Linked DNA regions of Diceros bicornis minor. The protein of the gene in region 2 interacts with the protein of the main gene of each other region in a biochemical or structural test. Links are inferred from orthologs where the notes say so. Each region holds a gene or a part of one and is shown on either strand. Other genes may lie near its edges. The genes, in order: HNF1A and DYRK1B.

Region 1 (14,943 bases), on a different chromosome or scaffold from region 2:
GTTTTTCAACCAGGTGAAGTCCCAGGTGAAGGGCTTAGGGGTTGGCATTCAGAGGCTTTGTTGTACGAAATACGTGAGTGTTTGAGCCCCAGAATCCCACTCTGGGCTGAAAGTCTCTCACTAGAGAGACTCAGGGACCTGGGTACATCCACATTCATATCCTGTCCTCTGCTCGCTGTGGGGTCAGATTGCCTGTACTATATAAACTCTTCTCTCTGTCCCTCTCCTGCTCTGTCTCAACCCTGTATTCCCCATCCTCTCCTGTTTATAGTACAAATGTGTGTCAGATAAATGCAGCTTGATACAACAGCGCTGAAACAGGCAGAACTGGGATTTGAACCCACGTCTGCACAATTCCAGACCCTGTGTTCTCACCCCCTCGACTCAGCAATTTGCTTCTAGAATTTGAGCCTTCCGATATTGGCATGTGGGACAAGTGGCACTTGGAGGAGGTGATTCGTGCCATGTTGCTTGCCCCAGCAAAAGACTGGAAACAACCTAAGTGTCCAGCGAAAGGACGCTGATAACTAAATTGCGGTGGCTCCGTACGATGCAGCCGTGAAAACCCACTGAGAAGCTCCGCGTGCGCCCAGACAGAACCGAGTTTGTCTGGGGGTTTGCTGTGCTGCTATTTGCATAAAATTTAAAGTGGGTTAAAAGAAGATTTCTACGTCTTTGCTTGTGTTCCCATGAAATGTCAGAAGGACAGAAGGAATTGGCGACGCTGCCTCAAGAGGGGAATTAGGTGCTGGGGACAAGGTGAGAGAGACAGTGATCTCTGTTAGTTTTCTACACTTTTTAAATGATGTAATATAGCATAATATTATATAATACACTACATATGCATATGTAATATTTAAAACTGAATTGTAAAACACTAAAAGCAAATAACCCCCCAGTGCTCTGAAGCTCCCCGCACTGCCTTCCCCCGGCCTTTCTCTGCCTCCCCAGAGAACCAGCCTTGCGTTGCCCCCGACAGTGCTCTTCTAGGACACAAGGGCATGCACGGAGCTTTCACCAGCTTCGGCCCTCTGACTTCCTCCTTTTTTATCAGCAGTTCCCTTACAAGCAGGGAGGGACAGAGGGTGGGGACACATACATTTATATGGTCAGCAGTCAGTACAGCCAAGTCCCACTGGTGCAACAGTGTGGGCCGTGAGGATGAATGTTTCCTGAGTGTTTACGTGAGCCAGGCACTGTGCTACAGGCTGGTCACATAAATCTTACAATAACCCTAGGAAGGAGGTACTACCTGTATGCCCATTTCACAGGGGAGAAAACTGAGGCTCAGAAAGGTGAGCCCTGCTCCAAGGTGACCTGGCTGGGACTCAAGAATCTTTCACTTTGCCCAGGCCCCCCAGACCTTTCCCCGAGCTCCTCTCTCTTCTGCTTTCAAGGGCTCCCAGGATCCTCTCTCCTCTCCCCCTCCCCCGCTCCCTGGGTGCCAGTCAGAGCGAGGAGGGAAGGGCAGTACAAAGTCCAGCCTTGTGCTTCGTGGCAAACATGTTTATCTGATCCTGGAGCCGGGCCGCCCGATGGCCGCCCCCCTCCCTTGACTGCAGCCGTCACCCTCGGGAGCAATCCTCCCTACCTTCCATCTCTCTTCTCCAGAGACAATGAGCTCAGTCTGCCTCTCAGCAGGGCCTCTCCTGGCTCAGACTAAAGATTCACCATCTGTCACCGTCCCTCTGAGTCCGGGTGTCTCTCTGTGTCTGTCTATCTGCCGTGGTTTCTCTTTCTCTGCCTCTGTGTGTGTGCATGTGTGTGTGTGTGTGTGTGTGTCTCTTGTTCGCTCTGTCTCTTTCTCCCACTCGCCCCTCACCACACACACACACACACTCAGTCTCCAAGCACCAGATTCTTTTCAAGACAGTTTCCCCAACTCAGAACTCAGAGGCCACGTCTCCAGGTATCTCCTGCTTCCACTCTAGTGGGTTTGAGAGTCAAACCGACCTAGGTTCAAATCCCACCACTGCGACCTCACACCTGATGTGTGCAAACCCCACAACTTCCCTGTAACACGGCGGTAAACCCACGCCTGCCTTGCAGTGCTATTGGGAGAATGAATGAGCTTCAAATAGGGGTGAAAATAGCCCAGGGCCTGGCACCCAGTAACTGCTCAGTGAGTGGAACAATATTGTCATCACCATCATCATCACCATCATCATCACCACCATCATCATCACCACCACCCCATCATCATCACCACCCCATCATCATCACCATCATCATCATCATCACCACCCCATCATCATCACCACCATCATCACCACCACCATCATCACCACCACCATCATCACCACCATCATCATCACCATCACCATCACCATCACCATCACCATCACATCATCACCATCACCATCATCATCACCATCATCATCATCACCATCATCATCACCACCGCCACCATCACCATCACCACCACCATCATCACCATCACCATCATCATCACCATCACCATCATCATCACCATCACCATCATCACCACCACCACCACCATCATCACCATCACCATCACCATCATCATCACCATCATCATCATCACCACCACCACCATCACCATCACCACCACCATCATCACCATCACCACCATCATCACCATCATCATCACCATCACCATCATCACCATCATCCTCATCATCATCCACGATGTGGTCCTGGGACCCCCAGCCCCACAGCAGAGGGAAGGGGGCCCAGGAGAGGGGAAAATCTGCCTACATCCCCCTCCTCCCGCCTCCTACCCGTTCTGGAGTCAAATCAGAGGTGCAGGTTTGAGCCTTTTGCTCACTGGCCCCTGGGGTTTCAGGGGGTCCATGGGCGTGGAGCTGGGAGACCAGCCTCCAGGGCCTCATCTGGAGGGGGAGCCGAGTTCTTAGTGTGGGGCCTTCCCATCTCCATTGGAACCCCAGCTCGCCGCTCCCTATCCAGGTGGCCCTGGGAAATTGCTTAACCTCCCCGTGCCTCAGTTTCCTCAACTGTGAGGTGGGGCTAGCAATATTTCAGAGGTTGTCAGGAGGAGAAAACTAGTTGAATGCACTTGCAGGCCCTTCGTCAGCTCTAGAGCCCTGCGCAGAAGTGAGTTGATGATGAAATCAACAGCACGAAGGACTGGGGAGGCTAACCGGGGAGATAAACGTATCAAGGACGGGCATGCAATCTCAAGGGCACCGTGCAGACTGTGGGATCAGGACGACCCGCATCCAAGTCCTGGTCTTATTACTTTGTAAGAGGCACCTTGGGCGAGTCGCTTTGTCCCTCCTAGCCTTAGTCTGCTCCTCTGTAAAACGGGACCACTGATAATAGCAACCGTTTATCACACTTACGTGCTAATACTGTGGGTAAGTGTTAATTATCACCTCCACCTTGCAGAGGACACAGGGGCTCAGAAAAGTGAAATCCTAGCCCGAGCTAGAATAGGGCAGAGCTGGGATCCGACCCAGGCAGGCTGGCCTCAGTCAGGGATGTCAGATTGTCCCATCTTGGCCACTGTCCTCCTGGGTCTCAGTGCCTGAAGGGGAGGATCAGAGAACCTCAGGGTTGAGGTTTGAGCTGCTGAGGGACAGGGAGGCCCTAGGAGGACTCCCAGGAAGGAGCCCGGGGTACAGGTTCCTTCCACCATAGCAGCAGATGTCCCCAGGGCCTCAGAGAATCCTAGTCATTCATTCATTCATGCTGTGTGTCAGCCACTGGGCTGGGTATCGGGGTAGGAGAGGTGAACAAGGGCCCTGCTCTTGAAGAACTTCTATTTTCATAGCAGGAGATAGAAAATGAACAGATAAACAAATCAGATCATCCTACATAATGATAAGGGACAGGAGAAAGTCAATGAAAGTAGTGGACGAGAGAGTGACGGGGGTGGGCCTACCTTTAGATGGGGTAGTTGGGGAAGGCCTCCCTGAGGAGGTGACATTTGAGCAAAAGGAGGAGAAGAAATCAGCCATGGGAAGATCTGGAAAGAGGGTTCCAGGCAGAAGGAACAGCACATGCAAAGGCCCTGAGGTGGGAATCAGCAAAGTCAGTGTAATTGATGGAAAGAGAGTGAGGCAGGGAGGTCCCTCAGAACGAGGTCAGGGAACCAGGGCAGGGAATTTGAATTTTATTCACTGTCCAGGTAGGGAAACTGAGGCAGAAGGTGGCGAAGAAACTTGCCTAAGGTCACAGGGTGAACTAAGGGTGGCAATCTAAGGGAAGAGCTCAGATTCCTGCTGTGGCCTCAAGCACGGGGCACCCTGGGGAGGCCTGGAATCCAGACCCACCCCTGCCTCTTCCCAGACACTTTCTGCAGAGAAATGGCTTCCACTGGCAGTCCTGCCTCTGCATCATCCCTTCCAGCCTTAACCTTCCTCAGTGCCCAGGCCTTCATCGAGGGTCCTCCACCCCTCTCCTTCTGGTGCCCCGAGGCTAGAGGCCCCACTTTTCTCCCTCGAGGCGTTCTCAGATCCCTTTTGTTACCTGAACAATAAGTAACCCAGGTAGTTAGTTATAAACTCCGCAGGAACAAGGAGCTGGTTGATAATTTATAGCAACATCTCAAATTTAAATGGAAAGTAAATAGCATGCTGTTAGCATTAAAGAAAACCCAATCGGGGCGGGCGGGAAGCACTCCAGCCTCCTCTCAGCTTGGGGCGCCTCAGTCTCTCCCGAGCCCCTTCTCCCAGCTGGGTGCGAGCCCCTCTCCCCTCCCGCTGCTCTGCTCAGCTCTGCCACTCCAGGCCTCTCTCTCCATCTCGCCCGACATCCTCTCTCTTCCTCCCTGCCTCCCCTCTCTCCCTCAGGTTCCAGGTCTCTGCTGGTCCCCAGGGAGCACTCTGACCTCTGCTCCCCCCTCAAGCGCTGTGGATCCAGCCTCCCCCCTCACCCACCATCCCACCACAGGGGCTGCTGATCAAGAGGCCCCACCCCGCCAGGTAAGAAAGGCCCTTGGACCCTCTGCCTCCGCTCCCACTCAAGAGCCCCCAATCCCGGCTAGGGCCCGGAGCCAGTCTGGCCCAGCCCCACCCTGTCCCGGTGGCCCTCGTCCCAGGTCTGGCGATGCCTGACTCTTTGCCCCTCCCCTGCAGCCCAGCGGGGCCCTTTGCCCTCCTCTTCCTGCCAAGTCAGGGGGCCCTGGCTGCTCCCCTGCCCGCTGCCCGGGCCCTCACGAGGCCTGGCAGACCCTGAGGGCTCCCTGAGGCGGGATCCAGCCCTCCCCCACCCCAAGCTGGGATCAGGACCTTGGACAGAAAAGACGTGGTCCCCTGGAGAGGCCTCTTCCTCAGACAGCTCCCCCAGCCACCCCCGGCCGGTCCCTGGCCCCCAGTCATGGCAACTGAGAGCACCAAGCAGAGTGGGTGTGAAGTCCCAGCTGGGTGGCCTTAGTCAAGCTGCTTCCCCTCTCCGGGCCTCAGTTTCCTCGTCTGCGAAGCAGAGTTATCCATAGCTTCCTCCCAGGGTTCACCTCAACATTATCCAAAATGATACATGTGAAACTTCAGCACAGCGTCCCGCTGTTAGGATGGAGGTTAGGGAGCCTTTGGGGAGGGGCGGTCCCTGAGCCCCCAGGCCCCCCTCCCTCCACCCCCACACTCCCCATCCCCCACCCCCACTGAGTGGGAGGTTGGTTGGCCCAGGGCTCCCCAGGCCACCATCCCTCCAAGTTAATGATCACAGGCCTTATCAGAGCCTTTTGCTGTTTATAAATTTATAAAACAAAAGAGAAATAATAAAGCTTGCGGGTAATTAGTAACCAGGTTAGCTCTGCTGAGGAGAGGGGAAGCATCTGGCTCAGACCCACCCAGTTCTCTGGGAGATGGGGAGCCAGCCAATGGATGGGGGTACAGAACGGGGAGGACTCTAATGGCGCCTGAGGCTGTGCAGGAAAGAGGAGCAGCCCCCACCCCAAGGCTCCATCTCCCTCAGGTAAGAAAGATCTGGGCTTTCCTGGCTGAATGCTTGAGTCGCCGGGTGGTTGGGGAGTCCCCAAAACCCCAGCCTCAGCCCCTCCTCCCCAGCGGTGCATCCTGTCGCTTAGCAGGGCAGTTAGGGTTTCGGGAGTGGAAATGGCCGTGGTAGCTAAAAATTCCACCCCCCACCCCGGTTCTCCAGGCACTTGAATGTGGATTCTCCCTCTTTTCCCCGTCTCGGAGCTCCCCTGGGGCATGTCCCCACTTCCCAGGCACTGGGCTGAAAGCCGCGGCTCGTGGGGACTCAGACTCTGCAGAGGCCAGGTCGGGCCTGGAGGCTCCAACCTCAAGCAAGGACCCCCCACCCACGCAAGCTCTCCTGGGCCCTGTCCCCTTCCTGACAACTAGGCTCGAGGCCACACTCGTGGAACTCTGGCCTCAGAAGGCCCGGCCAGGAGCAGCGGGTGGGCCCCTGGGGAGCCGGGCACAGGGAAGGGGCCTTACTGCAGCAGGGTCTCCACCACGGCTTTCTGGTGGGCCGCCTCCTCGGGGCTGAGGTTCTCCAGCTCTTTGAGGATGGGCGGCGTGAAGTCTTCCCCATCGTCGTCCGTCTCGTCCTCGGAGCCCCTCGTTTCCCCCAGCCCATTGGGCAGCTCGGCCAGCTCCCCTCGGCCGCCGCCGGCGCCGCCGCCACAGGACTCCCCCTTGTCCAGGGGGCCATCCCCAGCCAGAAGGTAGGGCCCCGGCTCCCCCAAGGCCTGGATCAGCGCCTCCTTGCTCAGGCCCGACTCGAGCAGGGCCGCCAGGAGCTCCGTCTGCAGCTGGCTCAGCTTAGAAACCATGGCTCCTCTGCCGCTGGACCACGCGGCCCGGGGCCACCGAGCTGGCCGCCTCCCCCGCGTGGGCTGTCTCCTTGCCCGCCGGCCAGCAGGCAGGCACAGACCAGGCTCCTTGCACCCACGACCCCCCCAAACCCCACTAGCCAAGCCCTGTGGGCACCCCCAACCCCCAACCCTGGCCCCAGCGGCCAGTGAATCAGGGCCCCTGCCCGCTCTGTTTACATTGGAGCTGGGGAAATTCTCCAAGGTTCATATTCATCCGTGTGCTTAGCGAAGGGCCTGGACTTTGGACTTCAGCCCTGCAAAGTGCGGGCCTCATGGCAGCGCAGAGGGCCGGGAGCCGCGGCCTGCAGTGGGAGTGGGCAGAGCGAGGGTGGGGGAGGCGGCGGTGGGGGCCCAGGGCAGCTGAGGTGGAAGGTGCTGGGAGCCCAGGAGGCCCTGGGGTGAGCAGCATCAGATCTCATCCCCAGGGACCTTGTAGGGGGTCAGGCTGAGGCAGGAGAGCAGAAACAGCACGTTTCCCCTGGGAACAGAAGCAGCAAGTGTTCCAGGCAGGTGGGCCAGCTCTCCTCAAGGGCAAGGCTAGGTCACATCTATGTTGCCACCTCCCATCAGGCCCAACGCCAGGCCTCCCCGTAGGAAAGACTGTCGACTGGCACAAGTCTACTGTGTGCCAGGGATGTGCTGGTCTATAACGTGCGTCATGACCTCACTGTGTCCCCCTCCCAGCTGTGAGCAGGTATGGGGACTATACCCATTTCACAGAAGAGGAAACCGAGGCTCTGAGATGGTAAGCAACTTGCCCAAAGTCACCCAGCCAGCAAGGGGCAAGACACAGGGTGGGAACAGGGTAGGCCAGTCAGACACGAATTTTAAGGGGGCGCCCAAAAACTCAGTATTCAAGAAAAATAATATTTTTATCCAACATATTAAAAATCAAAATGAATGCAAAATCCAAAAGAATTAAAAACATATGCCCACTGGGGCCGGCCCCATGGCTTAGCGGTTAAATGCGTGCACTCCGCTGCTGGCGGCCCAGGTTCGGATCCCGGGCGTGCACCGACGCACCGCTTCTCCGGCCATGCTGAGGCGGCGTCCCACATACAGCAACTAGAAGGATGTGCAACTATGACATACAACTGTCTACTGGGGCCTTGGGGAGAAAAAAGGGAAAAAAAAGGAGGAGAATTGGCAATAGATGTTAGCTCAGGGCCAGTCTTCCTCAGCAAAAAGAGGAGGATTGGCATGGATGTTAGCTCAGGGCTGGTCTTCCTCAGCAAAAAGAGGAGGATTGGCATGGATGTTAGCTCAGGGCTGATCTTCTTCACACACAAAAAAAAAAAACCACATGCCCACATAGAAATTCTCACGTGAATGTTCACAGCAGCATTATTCACAATAGCCAAAAAGTAGAAACAACGTAAATATCCATGAACAGATGAATGGATAAATAAAATGTGGTCTATCCATGCAGTGGTATATTATTCGGCCATAAAAAGGAATGCAGTGCTGATCCGTGCTACAATGTGGATGAACCTGGAAGACCTTATGCTAAGGGAAATAAGCCAGACACAAAAGGTCACATATTGTGAGTCCATTTCTATGAAATGTCCAGAAAGGCAAATCCATAGAGACAGAAAGTAGGTTAGTGGTTGTCAGGGGTGTCTTTGGGGACAGTGAAAATGTCCCAAAATTGATTAGGTGGTGTTACAAAACTGTAAAAACCACGGAAATTGTGAACTTTTTAAAAGGCTGAATTTTATGATATATGAATCAGTAAAAAATATTTTTTTAATTAATGCAAAAAACCTGGGATGAACAAAATATCAACATTTTAAATAAAGCCAGGCTCCAGTGCTCACTCCCCTCCCCCCAATCCCAGCCCTGGGTGAGCACTGGTCCCTCACGCCCCCACCCAGCTCTTCCCTCCTCCAGACAGAGCCTTGATAAAATTCCTGCTGTGTGTCCCCCGGGGTGGCCCTAAGCCCCCAAAACAAAGGATGCACACCATTTCCTGGAGCAGGCGGGGTGGTGCTGAGGGGCCGCCCCCCAGGCTGGGGCATGTCCAGAGGGTCCGCATCTTTCAGGGGTCTGCAGAACCAGGGTCAGGCTTGGCGACAGAGGAAGGGATAAGATGCTATTGGCCAGAAAACCCTCCCGCAGCCAGGCGAGGCCAGCAGGGAGGAAGGGGGCTGGTTGACAATGATAATTGAGCTCTCTGTCAGCTCAAATCCCCTTCTCAGTCTGTCCGCTCCCACATGGGGTGCTCCAGTCCCCCCAACACTGAATTACGTCTTCATTTCTGCATTCACCTTCTGACGTGCTGCACAACTGTGCTGCCCAGCACAGCAGCCACCAGCCACATGTGGCTACTGAGCACTCGAGATGTGGCTAATGCCTTCTGGTTGAAATGATAATATTTTGGATATATCGGGTGAATTTTAAAATTTTTAATTAAAAATTAGAAAAATTAATTTCACCTGTTTCTTTTTACTTTCGTAATGGTACTACTGGAAAATTTTAAATTACATAACATGGCTCACATTATATTTCAGTTGGGCAGCACTGCTCTAGAATTTACTTACGTATTAGGTTTGTTATTTATGGTCCATCTCCCTCTGCTAGAACGTAAGCCTGCTGACGGCAGGGTTTTGTCTGTCTCGTTCACTGCTGTATTCCCAGCGTCTAGAATATTGCCTCGTACGTACCTAGTAGGTGCTCAATAAATATTTGTGGAATGAATGAATGAATAGCTAAATTTCATTGTGCACCGACCTTGTATACTTAGCTCTGCACTAAGCTTTGTCGTATATTAAACTCTCAGAACGACTCTGTGAAGTAGGCACTGTTATTATTCCCATTCTGCAGCAGAGGAAACAGAGGCTCAGAGGGGTTCAATGGCTTGCTCAGGGGCGTCCAGAGCCGGGCAGTCTGACTGTGCAGGACAATGCTGACAGTTGCCCTTTGGGAAAGGGAGACCCCACCTTTCTTCCAGTGTTTTCTTTTTCCTCCAGTGTGAGTCGCTTTGGGGTAAGGGGGCTCACTGCTGGGGGCAGGATTCTCAAGTCCAGGCTGAAGGGCAGGGGCGATGCTGTGTGCTGTCCCTTCGTGGTTTCATGGTGCTCCTGCTTGCCGTACCCTGCCAGGAGGCTGTGTGACGTTTCACCTAGAAGAGGGAACCAGAAAGAGGGAGAAGGGTGGGGCGGGATCCTTTGCACAACTTTGAACTCATGAACTGCTAGGTCCTCCTGCAGCCAAGTGGCCCAGCCGGTGCCTCCAGGACTGAAGGTGGGTTTGGTTGGGAGGTGGACCAGCAGTGGGTGGGGGGAGAGCCTTCAGGAGGTCTAAGGAGAGAGGCCCCCAGGGCCCAACTTCAGCTCCCAGGACACACAGGGGCTATTGTCCTGGGCCCTGAGTGGGGCCCCCTCTGATGAAGGAGAAGGGACATCAGCAACCTGACCCTGCTGCCCCGCAGACATGGAGGCAGACAGACAGAAAGGGCTGCCCTTCCCCACAGTCAGGGGACAAATCTGAACTGACTCCAGGTTGGGAGAGCAGTTTGCCTTCCTGAGAATCACTGTCCCCACACACCACCCCCACCCCTGCTGGGTAGCCTTTCCTGACTCATCTATGAAATAGAAGTATGGATCTGCCAGGGTTGTAAAGAGCATAACGTAGAAATTCCAAACCCCCTCAGTTCAAGGCGCCTCTAGTGTCTCGGTGATGTTTTCACGGCACCTCCTGCCTCTATAAAAAAAACTAACAGTTAACTTTTATAAGTAGTTAGGTTAAAACAACTAATAAGTATTCATGTCCTCACAACTTAGTAGCCGCTTGAAAAATGCACATCAATTGAAAGAAAAAAATAATATTTTAGTTCCTTCTTAATGCTAAGTATGTGCTTATGGGTGGGTGGGCTTGTGGGGCTCTGCACAACTGCTCGACCCTTGGAATTAGACTGGACGTTACCACCCTCATTTCCTGCTCCACAATGATTTTTGCAAGATATTTGCTTGTTATCAGAACAACTGCCATAAACCCAGCTTTACAAAGCTGTGACGTCATCTAAAGGAAGGAAGCTCCTCAAACATTGAAACCGCGAACTACCTTGAGCTGGTAGTTTGCAAGGTGTCCGGCAGATGGCGCTGTGTTCCTTTCAAAAATCCTCTAAAATAGTCCGCAGTGCCCAGGGGCACCTCGGCGCACAGTTTGGGAACTGCGGCCCCAGGGGACGGGCTTGGACACAGCAGATATACCGTCAGTGGTAGCTCTGAGCGTCATCGCCACTCTCTCCTGCCGGGCGAGCAGCTGTTTGCAAGGCCAAAGTTGAGGCAAGGCGTAAGGCTTCTCCTTGGCCTTGGGAGGCAACACTGAGCCCTGTCAGTCAGTCTCAGACTCTTGGAATTCGATTACCACCACCCCCCCCACACCTCGGGGCCCACCTGTATTCAAACTTGAACTATTCCTCCTCCGAGTCCCACTGCCCTTTAAATCTTTATTGAACAGTCGCTGCTATATGCGATTTTCATCCATTTAACATCTCAATAGCCTCACGGGGTAGGTACTTTCAGCCCATACTACAGATGAGGAAACTGAGGCTCTAAGAGCATATGGATCCTGCCTAGCTAGTGCACGGCAGAGCTAGGATTTGAACCCAGCTCTCTCTGATGCCAGAATCCAAGCCCTTGACTGCTATTCTATGTCCTTCTTTCTTTGAGGCAGTTCACTCTCACTAAATACTTGTTACTATTACTTTTTGTTGTTGTTCTGGGTAAGTGTGTCTCTGCCCGTTGGCCTTGTCACCTCCATGCTGGTTTTGCAGATGAAGAAACTAAGGAGCTGAGGGAATAAAACACGGTGGTTAAGAGCACAGACTCAAGTGCCTGGGTTTGAGCTTGGCTCTGCCACTTGCCAGCTGTGTGACTTTGGGCAACTTGCTTAACCTCTCTGTGCCTCAGATTCCTCTTCTCTAATATGGGGATGGAAATACTATCTGCCTCATGGGTTGTAAGGAGGATTAATGAGGTAATACACATAAAGCACTGTGCCTAGCACATTGTAAGCGCTCCCCACTACTGAATGATTATCATTACGTGATTATTAACATGACTGCCCCACTCACCTTGTCCAGGCTGAGTTCTCTTCTTTGGCAAAAGTTCTCCACATAAGAGTCCCTGCCACCCATTCCATTTGACTCTTAAGCCCTGACTCTGGCATTCAAGGCCATCAATACCGCAACTCTGCTCTCTAACCAGCCACACTATTTCCATCTCCAGAGCACACCTGGAATCTCTCACATCCAGGCCTCTGCACAAGCTGTTTTCTCTACCTGGAGACCTCCACATGTTAGCCTGTCCTCAAGATCCTCTACAGGTCTCCTTCTGACCCCTTCTCTTGCCCACAGCAACATGAGCCTTCACTAGCCAGCCTTCCCCAACTCACTGGCGCAGGGCCAGCAGCACCAGAAAGCCCTGGATCGAGGGTGAGACATACAGATTCCTGGCTCCACGCTCAAGGATTTAATTTAATGGGTCTGGAGCGAGGCCCAAAGTGTGCAAGCTCCGTGCATCAAAGGGCAGAGAACTGAATATTGTTCTCTGTAAAACAACGATAAATGTGTTTCTATATGCATATTTGAGAAAGATGTGGAAGGACATGCTCCAAGCTGTCAACATCAGTTACCTTTGGCAGGGAGCTATGCACAAACAAAAATAATAGCAGGGGAGGGGGAAAGAAAGGAAGAAAAGAAGCCTCAAAAAAAAGAAAAAAAAAATGTAACTATGGGAGGCCATAGATGTTAACTAAACTTATTGTGGTAACCATTTCACAATATATACATGTATCAAATCAGTAGGCTGTACACCATAAACTAATACGTAAATATTACATGTCAATTATATCTCAATAAAACTGGAAAAAAATTAGACTGTGATGATGGTTGCACAACCCCGGTAATATACAACCATTGAACTGACACTTTAAATTTCAGGTGATTTGTACTTTCTTTCTCACTCTTTTCTGTATTATTTGAATAGTTTAACATGAATATTTATTTTCACAGGTATAAAATAGAAAAAAAAATAAAGTTATTTTTATTTGGGTGGTAGCTCCTCCCCGCCGCCCCAAATGAGCCAGGCTCCCCAGGCTATGTGGCGCCCACGTTCTGTTCCCCATCTCAGGTGTCTGTCCCTGGATCCTCACCTGGCTGTGGGCCACAGATGGCAAGAACCTCGGTCGTCTCTTCCTGGGCTCCCGGGCCTCAGAAATGCTGGTACCTACACGCCTGGGGCTCCATACACTGCGCATGCCCAGGAAATACTGCGGGAGGGAGCTCAATCCGCTCTTTCTGAACGCGTTTCTCGTGATTTCCTGAAGGTATCTTGTCAATCCAACTAGAGCGTAAACTCTGTGACAGCAAGGAGAACCTTGACCTTCCCCGTGCCACCGCCCAGCTCTGATCCGGGCCCGTTGTAACCCTCAAGGGTAGAACAAAGACTTGAAGCAGGAAAACACCTGTCGAGGGACGGCGCCCGCGCCCGGGGACGCCGCCGTCTGTTTTACTGTCATCCTCTTCATCGGCAGCAGACGGCGCTCGAAGTCCACGCAGCAAAAGTCTCCAAACCTGCCTTATCCTAAGAATTCCCAGTCACCGAGGTAAAAAAAAATCAGATTCCAAGGCCCCGCCCCTTTGTTCCTGAAGCAAACTTTCTAGGAGAAATGCCAGACAATCTCTTCTTTGAACAAACACCTCAGGCAGTTTTCTCAGGATCTAGCAAGTTGCGGAAACTGTCTGACACAGCCTCTTGGGTGTCTCAGACGTGGCTTCCCCCCCTCGGGTGTTTACAAGACAAATAACCTGGTTCCAGCCAGCAAAAGCCCAGAGAGCCCTACTGTAACACAAGGACGTGAATCAAAGTGAGCCAACACGTACATTAGCTGGGACTTCAAACCCCAGGGCGAGTTGAGAGCTCTGCCCACAGAGCAAACTGTTACAAGCTCTGCCATGACCCCGCTGTGTGATTCTGAACAAGTCCCATAACCACTCTGAACCCTAGTTTCCTCCTCTGTAAAGTAGGGATAATTGGGCCTGACAGGGTTGTTGTGAGAATTGGAGGAGATAAACAGCAGTTGTGTCTATACAGCAAGCAGGCATTTGATTAAATGTTAGTTTTCATCCTAATAAAAAAAATAGCTAATGTTTTTGAGACCTAATATGTGCCAAGCCCTGTACTGAGTGCTTTACATTTACTTGCTCCTTGAACTCTCACAACAGTTCTATGAGGTAGGTTCTATTATTCTCCCCATTTCACAGATGAGGAAACTGAGGCACAGAGAAGTTAAGCAACTTGCCCAAGGTCTCCCAGCTAGGAAATGGCAGATTTGGGATTTGAACCCAGGAAGCTGGGCTCCAAGCCCCAGGATGAAACAGCTCCAGGGGAACAAAACTACATCTTTTAGGAATTATGAAAATTGCTCCTTGGCTTCTTTGGGGAAAAGTAGACCACGCAGCTGAGCGAGTCCAAAAAGTAGCCAAGAGCCAAATGCAGGCGCAGGCTGCCAGCCGGGATTCCTAGCCCTGCCAGCTTTCCCGGATTGGCTTATACGCCTGAAGTCGTGGGACCAGGAAGTGCCAATGCCTGGGTCTTGCTGAAACCAGTTCTCATTGGCAGACCTCCCACTGATGGACAAGTGTCAATTAGTCGCAGCCTCAACATTGGAACATCAGCAATTCCAGAAAGCCGCCACTTCTGGACTCCGCCCACTGAAAAGGAGGCCTTTGTGAGGGTACAAAGGGAAAGAGGGAGATCAGGCTGAACCGGGTGTCCTCGGGACCTGGCGTTCCAGTCACATCCATTCACGTGCCTGACTCGCAGCCTCTAAACTCACTAGTTGTTGATCATCCAAAAGAAACAAACGAAAACCGTGCCATCGTGTTTCTGGATGGAGAGATACAAAGGATCCTGGGCACGTTGGTTGTTTCTGGGGAGGGGACCCCGGACACTGGAGGACAGGGTGGGACCAAGGCTTCCCTTTGCTGTGACTTCATTTTCACACCCTGAGCGAACTGGTCGGGGTCCTGGCGGGATCCAGCTGGCACTCTCAAATTAGAGGATGTGGGAAGCTATCATAAAGGACCTCTTTACCAAAGTGGGAGCAGATGGAGGGGGACCCCAGGGGTGGAGTCTCCGGGGTGGGGGCTGGGGCTGGTCACGGCGGGGAGC
Region 2 (14,889 bases):
GTGTGCATCTCCACCAGGATGCAGCCCAGGGACCACATGTCAATGGCCAGGTCGTAGGGCGTGCCCAGGAGCACCTCGGGCGACCGGTAGAAGCGGCTCTGGATGTACTGGTAGATCTGGGGGAGGAGAAAGGGCAACAGTCAGAGGTCCCAGCGTCCCCTACTGCTGCCACTGACACCCCCAAGGCTAGGACAAGCCTCCTGCCCCCAAAACCAGGGACGGGGGCTCCAAACCCTGATGTTATCAGCACTGACTTTCCAGGAGCCACCACCACCACCTTATTCATCGGCCTCAGGAGTCTCTGCTGGCCTGGTCTGACCCTGATCTCCATCCCCAGGCTTGACCCTGGGCCCCTCTTGGTCACCGGTCAGAGGCTGGCAGTCTGCAAGCCCAGGCCCTTCTCGCCCTCTCGATCCGGACCTATTTCAAGCCACTACCATCACCATCAAATGTCAGCTTACGCGAAGCTGCAACGCTGAAGCGCTCCCCGCCCTCCAGCCCCAGCTTTAAGAGCGCGGGGCAAACCAAACTCAGCAAAGTGCCACCCAAGGCTCACAGCCCACCCAGCTGCACCCTGCCGCCTCAGGCTTCACGCTTCCCTTTCCTTTTGGGCAGGATTCCCTGTGGCCCTCTCCTTTACCGCCTTCACCCACTGGGCCCACTCTCCGTAACTGCCGCCACCCCAACCCAAGCACTATCCTTCAGCATCAGCCACTTCGGGCTGCAGGACAATCCCGTCCCAGCCGTGCCCGCCCCTCGGGCCCCGCCCCAGCCCCGCCCACACCGCTAGCCACGCCCCCGGGAGGGGCCGCACCCGCTGGCCCAGCTGGCAGGAGCTGCCGAAGTCCACGATCTTGATGGCGCTGCGTTTGGGGTTGCAGAGCAGGATGTTCTCGGGCTTGAGGTCGCAGTGGATGATGCTGAGCTCGGGCGTGGCCAGGAAGAGCAACGCCGTGCAGAGCTGCTGCGCCAGCTTCCGCGTCAGGTTCAGCGAGACGCCGCGGAAGTGCGTGTTGCGCAGGAGGTCGTACAGGTTGTAGGAGAGCAGCTCGAACACCAGGCACAGGTGGTTCCGGAACATGAAGTGCCGCTTCAGGTGCACTGCGGGGAAGAGGGCAAGGAAAGGGGAATGGCCCAGGAGACGACACTGACGCTCAGAGAGCGCCGGCGGCGGCCTGCGGTGCGCAGTAATAGAGAGAGGCTGGAAGCAGGTCTGTGTCTGCTTCTGGAGCACTGGCCCCACGGTGGCGTGCTAGTCGAGATGTTTCTAGATGGTCTATAACTCGATTCCCACCAAGAAAAGGACTGATTGATATTCTTGATTAAGAAAAGTTAATTCTTTTCAAGTCTCTGTCAAACTTTCTGATTAAACCAGAGAAAGTTTCCATTCGGTGCTGACAGGGCTCTCACACCATCCTACACTTTCTCATTTAATTTTATCACATGGTTTTAGTCTCAGTTCTGTTTATTTTGTGGTTTTTGTGTTTATACTCATTTTCCATTTACTGTAAGGATGTATATTCAAAGGAACACAATCTTTAGATCCATTTGCTTTTTCTACGAGGAATCAGTGAAGGAAAGAGGGAAAAGACTGGCCCAGGCGTCAAGGGGAAAGGCTCTGGGGTCCACTGCCTGGTCCAACTCTAGCCATACTGAGCACAAACTCTGCCACCTTATGCCATGACAACACCCAAATGGCTCCCCTTCTTCATCTCCATGCCCCTTCCTCCGCGGGGCTGTGGGGTGGCTTCAACAAATTAATGTTCGTAAAGTGCTTACACCAGAGCCTGACCCTTAGTGAGCACCCACGAAACTCTGACCAGCACTACCATGTGCGTAGGGCAGACATCACGAAAGTGGCGGGAGAGTCACTGATGTCAGGGATTGCACACCAAACCCTGCCCTGAAGACTCCAGCCCCCTGTCCCGGGGGTGACCCACCCCTAAGCGGTCCCACTGCCCCAGGCCTCACCGATGTAATACTTCATCTCCGTGTCGTGTTGGTTCATCAGCTCCAGCAGCCGCAGCTCGATCTGGGCCTGGTTCAGAAAGGCCTTTTTGTTCTTGATGATTTTGATGGCCACCAGCTCCTGGGTCTGATGATCATAGGCTTTCACCACCTGCCGGGGTGGGGCATGTCACAAAGTGAGGGGAGGGGAGGGGAGGGGGGCGGGACAGAGCCAGGCGCCACTCTGCTGCCTCCAGCCAAGGAGACCCACCAGTGTCAATAATACTAATGATAATTCAAAATTGAGTGCTCACCAGCTGTCAGGCACTGGACATGAAATAATACAACCTTATGTGCGGAGTCCTGTTATCTGCACTGTTTTACAGAAAAGGAAACTAAGGCACAGGGACACCTAGTGACTGGGCTAGGGTGAGTGGCCCAGCACAGAACTTAAAGCCACTGACCCACTGGCTGTGGGCGTCAATGCCAGTGGGTGCCCGTGCCCCCTAGTCCCTGGATCAGGGTGGGGTGGGGCCTCCCGCACCTGGCCGAAGGAGCCTTTGCCAATGAGGGAGTCAATCTCATAGCGCTCCAGCCAGCGCTCGCCACTGCGCACGATGTAGTCATGGTTGTCGTCGTCATAACCGTGGTTCAGGACCTTCTTCTCCTTCTTGGTGCTCGAGTCCTGAGGTGGTGCCTGCTGGGCCCGCCGCTTCTTCTTCGCATAGTATACCTGCCCAGCAGGGGGGCCGAGATAAGGACTGGTGAGTGACCGTGCCAGCAGCCAGGACCCCGCAGCACCCAGCCCGGGCCCCCCACCCCCGGCCCACCTCATTGATGTGCTTGTAGGTCTTGATGAGGTCCACGGAGAGCTTGCGCAGCGGGGCCGAGGTCGCGTCCCGGAAGGCCAGGGGCAGCCTCCGCGGCAGCAGCCGCACATCAGGCAATACCTGGGGGGCGGGGTGGGGGTGGACACTGAGGACAGGCCTTTGCCTCCCACCTCAAGGGGGAGAACTACATGGGTGGCTGGCTCATCATTAGCACGCACATGTTTACTTGGTCACTGTCTCACAACCCCACAGAATGTCAACTCCCCAGGGGCAGGGACGTCGTCTTGTTCTTGCCGCAGCTCTAGAGCCTGGCGCGGGGCCTGGCACGCAGGGGGTGTCCATGAGAGACTCGCTGAGTGACTGAAGGGTGGACTCTTCACCCCTGACCTTTCATCCCACACCTCACTCCTTTCTGAACCTCAGTGGGAGAGATCAGATAGGAAACCTGGGCTCTGCCCCTCCCAGTCCTTTGGCCTGAGACTGGCCACTCTGGGTATCCCATCTTGAGAGGCCCCCATCTTGTGGGCCTTCCCAACCCTCACCCTCACCTCCTCTGTGCATCTTTGCCAGTTTTTTCACCCCAAGGGTCTTGGATCTGCATCCAGCCCCCTGGACCTCCCACTCCATCCCACTTCAGGCTCTACACATCAGAACCTTAACAGTCTCTGCCCTTGAAGGTCTTGACCCTGTACCCTCAAGCTCTGCTGACTCCAAGACCCCGCAGGCCTAGTCTTCCTCCACTTTCACGCTCTCCAGATCTTTCACTCTGGACTTTTTTTGCTTGGTGAACATTTATTGAGTGTCTACTAAGTGCCGGGCACTGTTCTTGGCACTTGACAGGCATTTCATTAGCTCATTTCATCCTCACAACAATCCTGTGAGGGAGGTATCGTTACTGGTCCCATTTTACAGTAAACTGAAGCATGGAGAACCGAAGTCGTTTAACCACCATGTGAGGATTTGAACCCAGGCTCTCCAAACCCTGACTCTGCCAGCAACTCCTCTATTACCTCCCACTCTCCTAGGGCCCGTCATGTCCCCAGGAGACTGTCCTGGGCAACCACATTATCTTTTGGCCCCCTTCTATTCCCATCCTCCCCCTACCCCAGGCAGGTGAGGAGCCAGCTGACCGCGTACCTGCGTGTGCTCCTGGGGCCCCGGGAAGCCAGAGAAGGGACCATGGCCCGGTGGGATGGCCATGGTGGGCTCAGAGGGCCGCAAGGGAGTGAGGCCTGGAGCGGGAGCCCGGCCGGGGGGCGCCTTCTCGCATCCTGCACCTCGGCTGCCACCGCCGCTGAGACCTGAGAGCAGGCGGGAGGCAGGGGAACAACAGAGAACAAGGGGATGTGTGGGACAGTGCCAGGCGGGAAAGAGGTGGACATCAGAGAGAAGACAGGGCACAGAGGGAGGAGAAAAAGGGTGCAAGAGAGCAACAGGTGGCAATGAAGAGAGGGGACAGAGAGAAGTGGCGGGGGGGGAGGGGCACAGCGGAGTCCCTCAACAAATGATTACCGGATAAATGAAGTAAGTGGCATAAAGAGGGGGACATGTGAAGGGAATGATTGGGAGCCACGCAGGGATATGGGTCATGACAGGAAAGGACAGAAAGATACCAACAATTAGGGGAAGGAAGAGAGGAAAAAGATAGAAACCACAGACAGTATAGGGAGTAGGGCTCACTCTTTTCTTCCCATTTCTACTCCTAGCCCTTCCCAGGGCCCCTCACACAAGATGCTGCCCTCCTGCAGTCCTCCCTGAACCTCAGGATCTCATTTCCTGTCACAGCAAGGTCCCCCCACTCCAAGATCTACCCTTCCCTGTAGGTACCCCAATCCAGAGAACTCTAGGATCCTCCCCAAACCACATGAGAGTCCTCTGGGCCCCCTCCAAACCACAGCAGAGTCCTCTGCAGGCTCCTAAAATCACAGCAGGGTCCTTAGGGATCTCCTGACCACACCAAGGTTATCTGAGAACCCTTATACATTGGAGTCCCACCCCTATGGCACTCTCATCCACCAGGGCACACCATTCCCAGGGGACCCTCCCCATATCATGCCAAGACCTCTTCCCTATATCATTTCCTCCCACATCAGGGACCACCCCTTCAAGTAGTTTCCCCATACCATATTCCAGTTCCCCAAACAGGGCTCTTCCCCACATTACTCCAAGGTCCCCCTCCCAATCAAAACCTACTCCTCCAGATGGGAGCAAAGGGGAGGCGTCTCTTCCCACGCTGGGTTTAGAGTACTCGGCCTTCTCAACCCTACACTGGACCCTACTCCCCTCCCCCTCCCCCAACATTCCTACCAGGGCCCTTTCTCCAGTCCCTCCTCTCTTCGCCAGGGTCAATCCACAACTGTGCCCATTCCTAGAAGGCCCCCATAGCCAAATTCCCCAAATATCACATAGAGGTCTCCCCTCCCAGAGTATCTGCCACTTCTCCCATGTCAATCCTCCTCCTATGCCAAGCCTTGCCACTCCACGACCCCTCCTCTCTCTCGGAGCTCCCCCACCAAAACAACCTCTTCTCCGGGGCCCTCCCACACCAGGACCATCTCTCCCAGCCCCCACCCCCTACCCGGGTCAGGGCTGGCGCGGGGCCCACGGGGGGCTGGGGCGCGGTGGGGCCCCCAGTGGGGTGGGCGAGCGGCCAGCATGGCGGCGGTGGCGGCGGTGAGGAGACGGCCGCCTGTCCCGGCCCGGCCGGCCCGGCAAGCCCCGCGGCGGGGAGGGCAAGCGGGACAGGCGGCCCGGTGGGTGACAACAGCAGCCGCCGCCGCCGCCGGGGGCGGGGAGAGGAGGGGACGAGGGTCAGCCCGGGGCACGCGGGGGAAGGAGAAAGCAGGTGGACGGGGGAGGGGCGGGTTAACCCTCGCCCCGCCGGCCCCGCCCCTGGGGACCCCGGCGTCCCGCCCCCCACCCTAGAGGCCCGCCCCGGCCCACGGAGCCCCAGCGGGCGGGGCCGGGCTGAGTTTGGCAGTCCGCACCTGCCATGGCAACAACCGTGCCATTGGTCGCTGCTGCCAAGAGCTCAGCCAATCACAGCCCAGGGCAGCTGTTGCTAGGCGACGACGAAGCGGCCGGCGGTGCCGAGCCCAAACAAAGGGCGGGAGCGGGGCCCCGCTACCCCCTCCCGGCCTCCTTGCTAAGACTGCTGCCTCGGGCTCGGCCCCTTCCAGGAATCCGACTATGAATAGCCGGGCACGGCCTGCACCTGCCCGCCACCCCCCTCCTCTCCTCCCTCGGCCTCGTGCTGAGTCTCGCAGCGACGCGGGCAGGGCGGGTCCCGTACTGCCCCCCCTCACCGCGAGCGCGTGCCGCCCCGCCCGCAGCCGCGTCGTTACCTGAGGGCGCGGGCAAGGGGACTCAAACTGCTCGGGAAGCCCGAGCCCAGACCTGCCCACGGGCTGAAGGTATCCGGCGGACGCGGCGAGCCAGGGCCCCGATTACCCAGTAATGCAACCAGCAAAATGGCGACCACAACAAACCGGCCCCCCCAGCCTCGGGCTCCGCCCCCAGCCCCCCCATCTGTCCTTCTCACGTGACCCAGGGCAACACACCGCGCCTGCGCTCAGCGGCGCTTACCGCTGTACATGCGCAGTGAGCTACCAACCCCGCCCAAGCGCCGACAGCCGGGTTACGGCTGCGCAGGAAGCCGCTAGGAAAGGAGCATGCGCTGTGTGACCGGAGGCGCACTCCACCCCACCACTCCGCAAGTTGACCAAGGGCGCATGCGCCTTGTCTTGAGAGGCCGTCAAGCCATCAGCAGCAGACAGGAGCGACGGATGAGTCTTTTAATAGAAAACACACGTATTAACAGTAGCAACACAATCTCGCAATCCCGATGGCGCTGGGCTTCAGTTCTTCACCTTGGGGGGTGGCCTGCGAGAGGAAGGAGACGAGGATATTCAGAGCCTGTCACCACTTTGGGGCACTCCAGCACTACCTGTGCGGCTCCCCCAGCGGGGACAGAGATGTCTGTCCTGGTGGATCCCGGGCCCCTGCTCACCTGTACACACCCACGACCACGGCGTGGTCTCTCTCGTACGGCTCCAGGGTCAGCTGCTCCTGGGGCTTCATGTTCTCCTGCTGCATCTTCTTCACCTCAGAGGCAAACACGGCCTCGGCCGAGGCGGTGGAGTCGATGCAGTTGGCCTGCAGAGGAGAGAGGGTCTGAAGTCTGTGGCAAGGCTGTTTTCCCTGTTCTGTGCTTTTTAAACCAGATGTATTTCTTTTTATTGGCAACTCAGTGAAACTCAGGTTTTGGAAATGTAGGGAAAGACTTCCTTAGAGAAGTTTTCAATTTGGTTTGGACTTGGAAATAGGAAGCCTTCAACAGAGCCCTATGGATCTACAAGCCAGTGTTTAAATTTTACACCGAGGAGTTTTTTCGTCTACTTCCTCTTCTTTAACAATAGTAACAATGCAGCTGAGAATACAAAAACAAATGTCACAAAAGGCCAACAAATGGTGAGAATCTGGTTGAAGGATACACAGGCGACTTCTCTGTATTTCAAAATAAAACCTTTTTTAAAATGCACCTAGCATGGACCTAGAATTTATTTTATACCAGGGTCTGTTCTAAACACTTCATATATATTGATAAATTGAATCCTTACATCAACACTAAAAGAGATAGGACTAATATTTCTATTTTACCAGTGAAGAAACAGGCACACAGGTTAAGTATCTTACTCAAAGTCACTTAATTCAAGCTGGAATTCAAACTCAGATGGTCAGACCCAGCGATCATTCACGTGACCACTACATTCTATTGCATTTTTAAATCCAAAGATTTTTAGTTTTGAAGATGTTCTTCATCATGTGCTATTTGACTTGGGGCAGAGGTGGCTTGTAGGGAGCTGGGTAGGGATAGAGGCTGGGAACAGACTGACTGGATTAAGAGGGGTGGAGACCCCCTTGTAGTGACTGGCTGCTTGCCAGTTAGAGAGCGAGAAAGATACTAGCACCCCATCTTAGACCCCTCCAAGCCCCCGCACCTTAATGGAAATCACAAAGTGTCCTCCATTACGCAGGAAGGTGTGGGCATTCAGGGCTACAATCCGGGTCTGGTCTGGCTGGGCCACGTCGGCAAAGATCACATCCACCATTGCTAGGGAGAAAGAAGCGGCAGTTAAGAGCCAGATCCACTGGATCTTCCCAGCTCCTCTCGTGGGGCCTGCGCCCCATCACCAGCAGGTTTCTGGCAAAGTCTCCTGCCTCCAGTCTCACTTACCCCCACTGATCCCCCTCCCTCCGCGGTGCCTCCAAGATGGGTCCAAAACCCACAGTCACACCATTCATTCATTCCTCTTGTAAATCATGGTTGCCACCTACTCTGTGGCCAGCCCCGGGCCGGGCGTGGGGGACACAGAGACGAGTCAGACCCGGACCCTGCCCTCGAGACGCTCCCGGGTCTGGGGGGGGAGACAGACATGTCATCAAAAAGGCAAGTAAAGGTGAGCACTTACAGGCAAGAGTGTCTGCAGGTTTGTCAAATGAAAACAAGTAGTAGGACAAAGGATATGGTATGAGTGCATGGAAAAAAAATGCACAGAAAGAAAAACCAGCAGAATACAACATAACATTTTTAAGGCAGTGTGATTTAAAAAAATAATAACTTAAAAAAAGGAAAAGATGATGTAATGAAAACTGACTTTTTTAAAACTGGGAAAAGCAGACATCAAATTGTTATCAGTTACCTTTGGGGGTAGTTTATAAGGCCTTCCATTTTTACATTATGCTTTTGAATTTCTTAAAAAACAAAGTCATTAATATTCACAGTGGGCCCCTCCGGGCCTCAGTTTGTGCTTCCTGGGTTATGCTCTCTCCAGGTGATGAGGAGGACCTCTGAAGAAGGCTTTTCTACATAAGCCAGTGTAAAAAGCACCAGTACCAGGAAGTACGGGGGGCTAGGGAGAGGGGCAGGAGATTGGAGGGAAGGAGGCTAGCCGTCAGACATCTGAGACCCTGAACTGGGACCACCACCTCCACAAACTCAGCTGGCTCCCCTACCCTTTGCACCGCTGCAGATGCAAGAGGCCTGCTCATCCACTCAGCTCCATCTGATTCAGGGCTCTGGCGGCCTCTTCCAGGAAACCTGGAGTGGCCTGTCCTACCCTACCTGGGCCAACCCCTGGACCCCTCACCGATGAGCATGCGGTATTTGTGCGGGTGCCGAGCGTCTTCAATGACAGGAATAATGTTGGTCCTCTTCTTGGCCAAGTTAATGAGGTCACGGCCGGAGCGGTGGGAGAACTCAACTGCATAGACCAGACCGTCCTAAAATACATCAAATAATAACATCAATGATACCAGTTCTCATGTATCGAGCACCTACTTTGGGCCCATTCACTGCACGCAGCATCTCTCCAAATCTCCAAATCAAAGTCCTACCATTTAACAACTATTGTTATGTCCATTTTTCAGATGAATACACCAAGGTCCAGAGATGTGAAGTCACTGGCCAAGGGTTATTCAATTCCACTTTGCCTGATCGGAGAGCCCAGGCCCCAATACAGGCTTAATACCAGGAAGCTAGGGCACAGAGATGAAATCTAACAGCTAAGAATATCTGCAGTGGGCCAGGCACTGCTTTAAGCACTTTACGGGAGTTAACTCCTTTAGCTTCACAATAACCCTATTTTCCAGAGGGGTAAACTGAGGCCCAAAGAGGTTAAGTAACTTGCTGAGAACCACTTCACTATTAAATGCCTGCCCCAGAGCCTGGGGTTTTTCACCACTAAATTACACAGCCTATAGGTATGTAGATGAGCTGGGGGTCATGAAGTTGAGACCCACGGGGGCCCTCTAAATAGGGAACCGGTATAGCCACACAGAAATGCAGGTCCAGAAACTGAGACCTCCTGTTCTTTCAGGAGAAACCAGGAGACCAGATTTTAGGGGCATACATTTTTAAAGAGGGCAACCAAAACAAAGAGTCTGGTATCTGTACTCTCAGCTCTGGGCCCCTCTAACATAGTCACCTGGATGCCCAAAGCCCTTCCCTCCGGGCCAAGAACTCAGGAGTGATGCTGAATGAGGCTGTGGAGACCATGTGGTTCAAGCTGCTCCTTTTACTCACAGGCCCTCTGAGAGGGAAGGGCCTGGCTCCAAGCCACAGAGTGCAGGAAGCAGCCTGGGCCTTTCCCTGCCTCCTACGGCACCACCAGCCCATACTTGGCCCCCACCTCCGGCCCCTCCGTCCACTCACCGGGCCTACGATGTCAGAGACGTGGGAGACGGTGGTGCCCGAGGCAGCCCCGAGGTAGAGCACCTTGGCCCCTGGCTTGATGTGGATCTGGTCTACACCGCCCAGGATCGCTGCTGCCAGCTTGGAGCGGAAGGGGTTCCAGGCGCGGTACTCAATTTTGTCATCTCCCTCCTGGGCCGGGAGAGATGGGGATGAAAGTCAGTGCCAGGCTCTTTTGCAAGACCCCACCGCCCTTAACCCTCGGGCCCTCAAAACGGACTGGGCGCTCAATCAGAGAACAAGAAATGAACGTGGGTATACAGCAGTGACCAGGACAGATGCAGTGTCTGCCCTCTCATGGAGGGGACTGTCAGGGAGAAGGCATAGCGACAAGACAGTCAACACAGAGACAGATCATACCAGTAACGGCAAGACCCACGCATTCATTCACCAAGCAGCCACTGTGCCAGCACATGAGTGTGCCAGACCCTATGCCAGGCACTGGGGACACACAGGGAACGAGGCAAAGACCTGCCCTCAAGGAGTAAGTACATACTGAACTGCCTGACACAGACAGCACAGCAGCCAGTGACAGGTGCCAGGGGAAAGAGCAAGTGGGCAAGAAGCGTGAAGTGTGGGGAGCAGGGCGAGGGCCAGGTGAAAATGCGCAAGGGAAGAGCCGAGGAGACACCTGGCGTGGAGGTGAAGGAGGTGAGGGGCCATTCGTTATCTGGGGCAGCGCACTGCAGGCAGCAGAAAGGCCCCAAGGCACGAGCGTGCCTGGCCCTAAAGAAATGATGCAGGATGACAGGGCGGGGGGTGGGCGGTGAGGGCTGCTCTCCACAGACAGGGTGGTGCCAGGTGGCCTTGGGAGAAAGACAAGGTGATACGTGACAGAGATGCTGGTGATGAAAGGGAACCAGTCACGCAGAGCTGGGAGAAGAGTATTCCAGGCAGAGGGAACAGCAGGGGGGGTCAGTGTGGCTAGAAGACACTCGGCCAGGGGGCCAGTGGGAGGAGACGAGGCCAGTGGGGAGGGGAGCTAGAAGGCGCAGGGTTTTCCAGGCCGCACTGAGGACTTGGGACTTTAATCTGAAGGCATTGGGGAGGGGAGCACATGATATGACTTATGTATTAAGATGGTCCTCTGGCTGTCGAGTGTGGGACACATGGTGGGGACAGGGAGACCAGACTGCCAGTCACACCATTGGCTGGGGCCCTGTGGCTTGGACAGGGGCCCAGGTCTCACCGAAATCGAGACTCTCTTCTCTCCGTAAACTGATTCTCCAGGGACCAGATTCTTGGTGACGAGAGCATCTTCCTTTCCTCGACAAATGAAGACCCCTGAGTGAGACGACCAACGCAGGGGTGAAGACTCCGGGCTGCACCTCACCCTACCCCACCCCTACCCTCAGCGGGTTCCCTACCTTCCTCACTCACCCTCATGCCGGTGAGGTTCCACCATCACATTCTTTCCCGACTGGTTTCCTCTTTTTCCTCCCCGACCGCGACCCCGGTTGCCACCAGAATGGAACCCTCCACCTACAAGGCAGAGATGCAGTGAGAGAGGGAGACCACACATCTCTTCCCTCCCTGTTCCCCAAGCCCAAGCCTCCTCCATCACATCTCCCCAACCTCACTCACCACCTCTTCCTCCACCTCCTCCTCCTCCTCCTCTGCCACGGCCCCTAAAGCCTCCACCTCGACCTCGGCCTCCGCCAAAGCCTCCTCGGCCTCCGCCGCGACCGCCACGGTCACCAAAGCCCCCTCGGCCACCGAAGCCACCCCCACGGGGGCTGAAACCTGTGGCGAAAACAGAACCAGGAATCAGGACAATGAACTCAAGTAGTTACTCCTACACCTCTACTCAGGAAACTGGAGAAACGTCCACGTTGCACCAGGAGACATGTCCATCAGCAGAGTGGACAAATAATATGGGGAAAATTCACAATCAACAATGAAAAGGATCAATAGTTACACACGACAGATAAATCTCAGAATCATAACATTCAGTGAAAAGGCAAGTGCAAGAAAACCACATCCACATAATATCCTTTTCATAAAGTTCGGCAACAACTAAAATTCAACGATGCTATGCTGGATTGATTGATATATGCGGTAACCCATGCCACCCACCCCCCAAAAAGAGGCAAGGGAATGATAACTGCGAAACTCATGACCTTGGGTGGCGGGAGGGAGAAATTATGGGGTTAGGATGGGGAAGAGTATATAGGTCGACGTAGGTTACTGTCAATATCCTGCTTTCTTTGGTTGGATAGCAGAGTCGCAGAAGTCATTCTATTTTCCATATTAATTAGTCTGAAAAAGAGCGAACACTGCATGTGTGCATGCACCGTGGCAGAAGGGTCCTCCAGACTCTGGAAACATCTTCGTGCCCTCCCACTCCTGACCTCATGCCTGGAAGAAAAGCGCCCACTCCCAAACAGGGGGGAGGAGCTTGGAATGATGTCTTTCCTTCTAACTGATCTCTCGGCTTCCAAGGCTGCAGAAGTCTCTCACAGCTCAGGGAAAAAGAAGAAAAAAACCTGAATTGTCTTTCATGGATGGGCAACAGTTCTTAAGCAGTTTAGGGCTTGTCAACAAGATGTAAAGTTTAAGAAAAAGAAAAAGATTTGGAGAGACTTTATTTTCATCACTTCAGGAGAAAGCAAACATTGTTCACTTCACGGAGCACAAAACAATGTTGGGAGCAGACAGAATTCTGGTGCTAACAGATTGAATATGTGACTTTTCTGTGTGGGTTTCAAAAGCTCTGCAGTACCATTCAGAAAAACTACGAGTTATAAGACAATAGCGTGAAAATGAGTGATGGTTTAAAATGATCTCACCTGATGTAAACTAGTCACTAGTACACTTGCTCAAGTTTTTGTAAAGGTGCATTGTATTCACACTCTGAAAGCTTCATGCATCTGAATGGCGTTAAAGATGAAAAGGTGGAATTTCTAATCGCTATTCCTAATTTGATTGTTAAAAATGAACAGTTTCAAACTCCTCACGTAACCAAGAGCTGTCTGCCTTTATCGTCTCCCCCTCTACAGCCTACTGTCCACGGAGCAGCTAGTGACGGAGTTGTTTAAAACAGCAAACAGCAAATCAGATCTCAGCATCCCCTGTCCGAATCCCTTCCATGGTTTTCCATCACATTCAAAATGAAATCAAAATTCCTTTCCCTGGCTTCCAAAACCCTATATCAGTGGGTCTCCCCTTTGGCTAATCCCTGGAACCTAGAGATTCTGATTGAACTGTCTGGGCTAGGGGCCGGGGCCTGGGCTTCTTAAAGTTCCCCCGGGGATTCTAATGTGTGGCCCAAACTGTGAACTCCATCACAAGGCCCTGGCTTCTGCTGACTTCTGACTGCGCTCTCTCTATCCTGGGCCCCACGCTCTTCCTCTCCAAGAACAAACTCGCTCTCCGGCATCTAAAGCTTTAACATCTGCTGTCCCCCTGCCTGGCTCCTGTGGACACGTGCTAGGCCCACCTCCTTCCCTGCACTCAGGTCTCTGATTAAATGTTCCTTCCTCAGACAGGCCTTCTCTGCTACCCCACCTTTCCCGTGCTTGCTCGTTCTTCCTATCGATGACCACACACGGCGTTTTTAATATTATCACCGCCTGCCTCCTCCACCAGAATCAAGCTCCAAAGAGACAGGCATGTTTAATTGTTTTGGTCAGCGCAGCATCCCCAGCACCGTGCGCAACACCTGACACCAAGCAGGGGCTTGGTAAACATTCAATGAGCTGTCTGTGATAACCCTTAGATCCCTGGGCTCTGCTCCTGCAGAGAGCACCCTCTCTGTTCATTCAGAAAGCAGGTGATCAGATGGTGACCAGAGCCCTGGCCCCTCCCCTCAAGCAGCTCATGTAGTCCATCCAGCGAGATGGCCACGCAATTCACGACCCTAGAGAGCAGGGAAGGTTTGTGGGAGTCTTGAAAACTTCACCTATAAGACGGAGATATGGAGATAACACAGTGCTCACCTCAGGGAGTTGTCAAGAGTAAATGACTTAATACACACAAAGCACTTCACCTAATACACTGCCTGGCACACAGTTTGCCTGGCACACAGTTTGAATTATTCAAACTCGGGGGAATGAGTCCCCCCTCCCTCCTACTTAGGAAGAAACCACTAGGCCTAAGAGGTTCTCAACCCAGGCCCGAGGAACAGAGACCTGGGAAGTGTGGGCACGGCATGGGGGACAATGGGCACGAAGGTAAATTTGCAGTCCCAGATACTCAAAGCATAGCTTAATCCATTTCAGGTCCTGGGGCTCTTAGAAAAAGGTACTCAAAGTACCCATTGCTCAGAAAAACACATATTCACACACATTTTTCTAGAAGTTTTTGGTGGAGGGTCCACAGACCCCCTGGTTTAAAGCTGCTCTCCTCCCACAGCTGTGCCCATCTCAAAAACGGCAACTCCATCCTTCCAGCTACACACGCAAAAGCCCTTAGTTATCCTTAATTCCTCTAGCTCACACCCACATACAAGCTGTTGGCTCTGTCTTCAAAATATATTCCCAAATCATGACGATTTGTCAATCAGGTCCACTGCTCTCACCCTGGTCCAGGCCACATCATCTCCTAGTAGACTACAGCACCAAACTTCCACCCATGTGCCCATGTCCACTCTTGCTCCCCAAAAGTCTTATACACACAGAAGCAAGAGGGATCCTTTTAAAAGTGTCAATCAAGTCTAACTGACAGCATCCCTGCTCAACATCTCCCAAAGGCTTCCTCTCATTCAGACTAAAATCATTCCCGCAGAGCCGATTCCTGAAACCTGGTAGATTTACTTTTACCACTTCATATCCTAACGCAACGGAGGAAGGGTTGGGAGGAAGGTGTATCCTCCATTCCTGGGGGGAATCAGACCACAGGGTGCCTGCAGGGATACCAGGG

Evidence for each region.
Region 1: of the proteins of DYRK1B (region 2) and HNF1A, one has a biochemical effect on the other in vitro, tested with the Homo sapiens proteins (2 studies listed by IntAct, with this or other methods). The link is inferred for Diceros bicornis minor from reciprocal best matches to the Homo sapiens genes DYRK1B and HNF1A.

The regions. Positions count from the first base shown.
Region 1 is NC_080774.1:17,389,971-17,404,913, reverse strand, and holds the start of HNF1A (hepatocyte nuclear factor 1-alpha), read right to left. Parts: upstream 6,763-14,943; 5' UTR 6,725-6,762; coding exon 6,387-6,724; intron 1-6,386. UniProt on the Homo sapiens protein: Transcriptional activator that regulates the tissue specific expression of multiple genes, especially in pancreatic islet cells and in liver. Binds to the inverted palindrome 5'-GTTAATNATTAAC-3'.
Region 2 is NC_080773.1:13,600,871-13,615,759, forward strand, and holds the start of DYRK1B (dual specificity tyrosine-phosphorylation-regulated kinase 1B), read right to left. Parts: upstream 5,594-14,889; 5' UTR 5,435-5,593; coding exon 5,356-5,434; intron 4,079-5,355; coding exon 3,915-4,078; intron 2,898-3,914; coding exon 2,778-2,897; intron 2,681-2,777; coding exon 2,492-2,680; intron 2,120-2,491; coding exon 1,972-2,119; intron 1,102-1,971; coding exon 815-1,101; intron 117-814; coding exon 1-116. Other genes in the region: FBL (rRNA 2'-O-methyltransferase fibrillarin), read right to left, coding at 6,635-6,659, 6,787-6,932, 7,778-7,890, 8,927-9,059, 9,991-10,161, 11,219-11,313, 11,410-11,511, 11,614-11,772.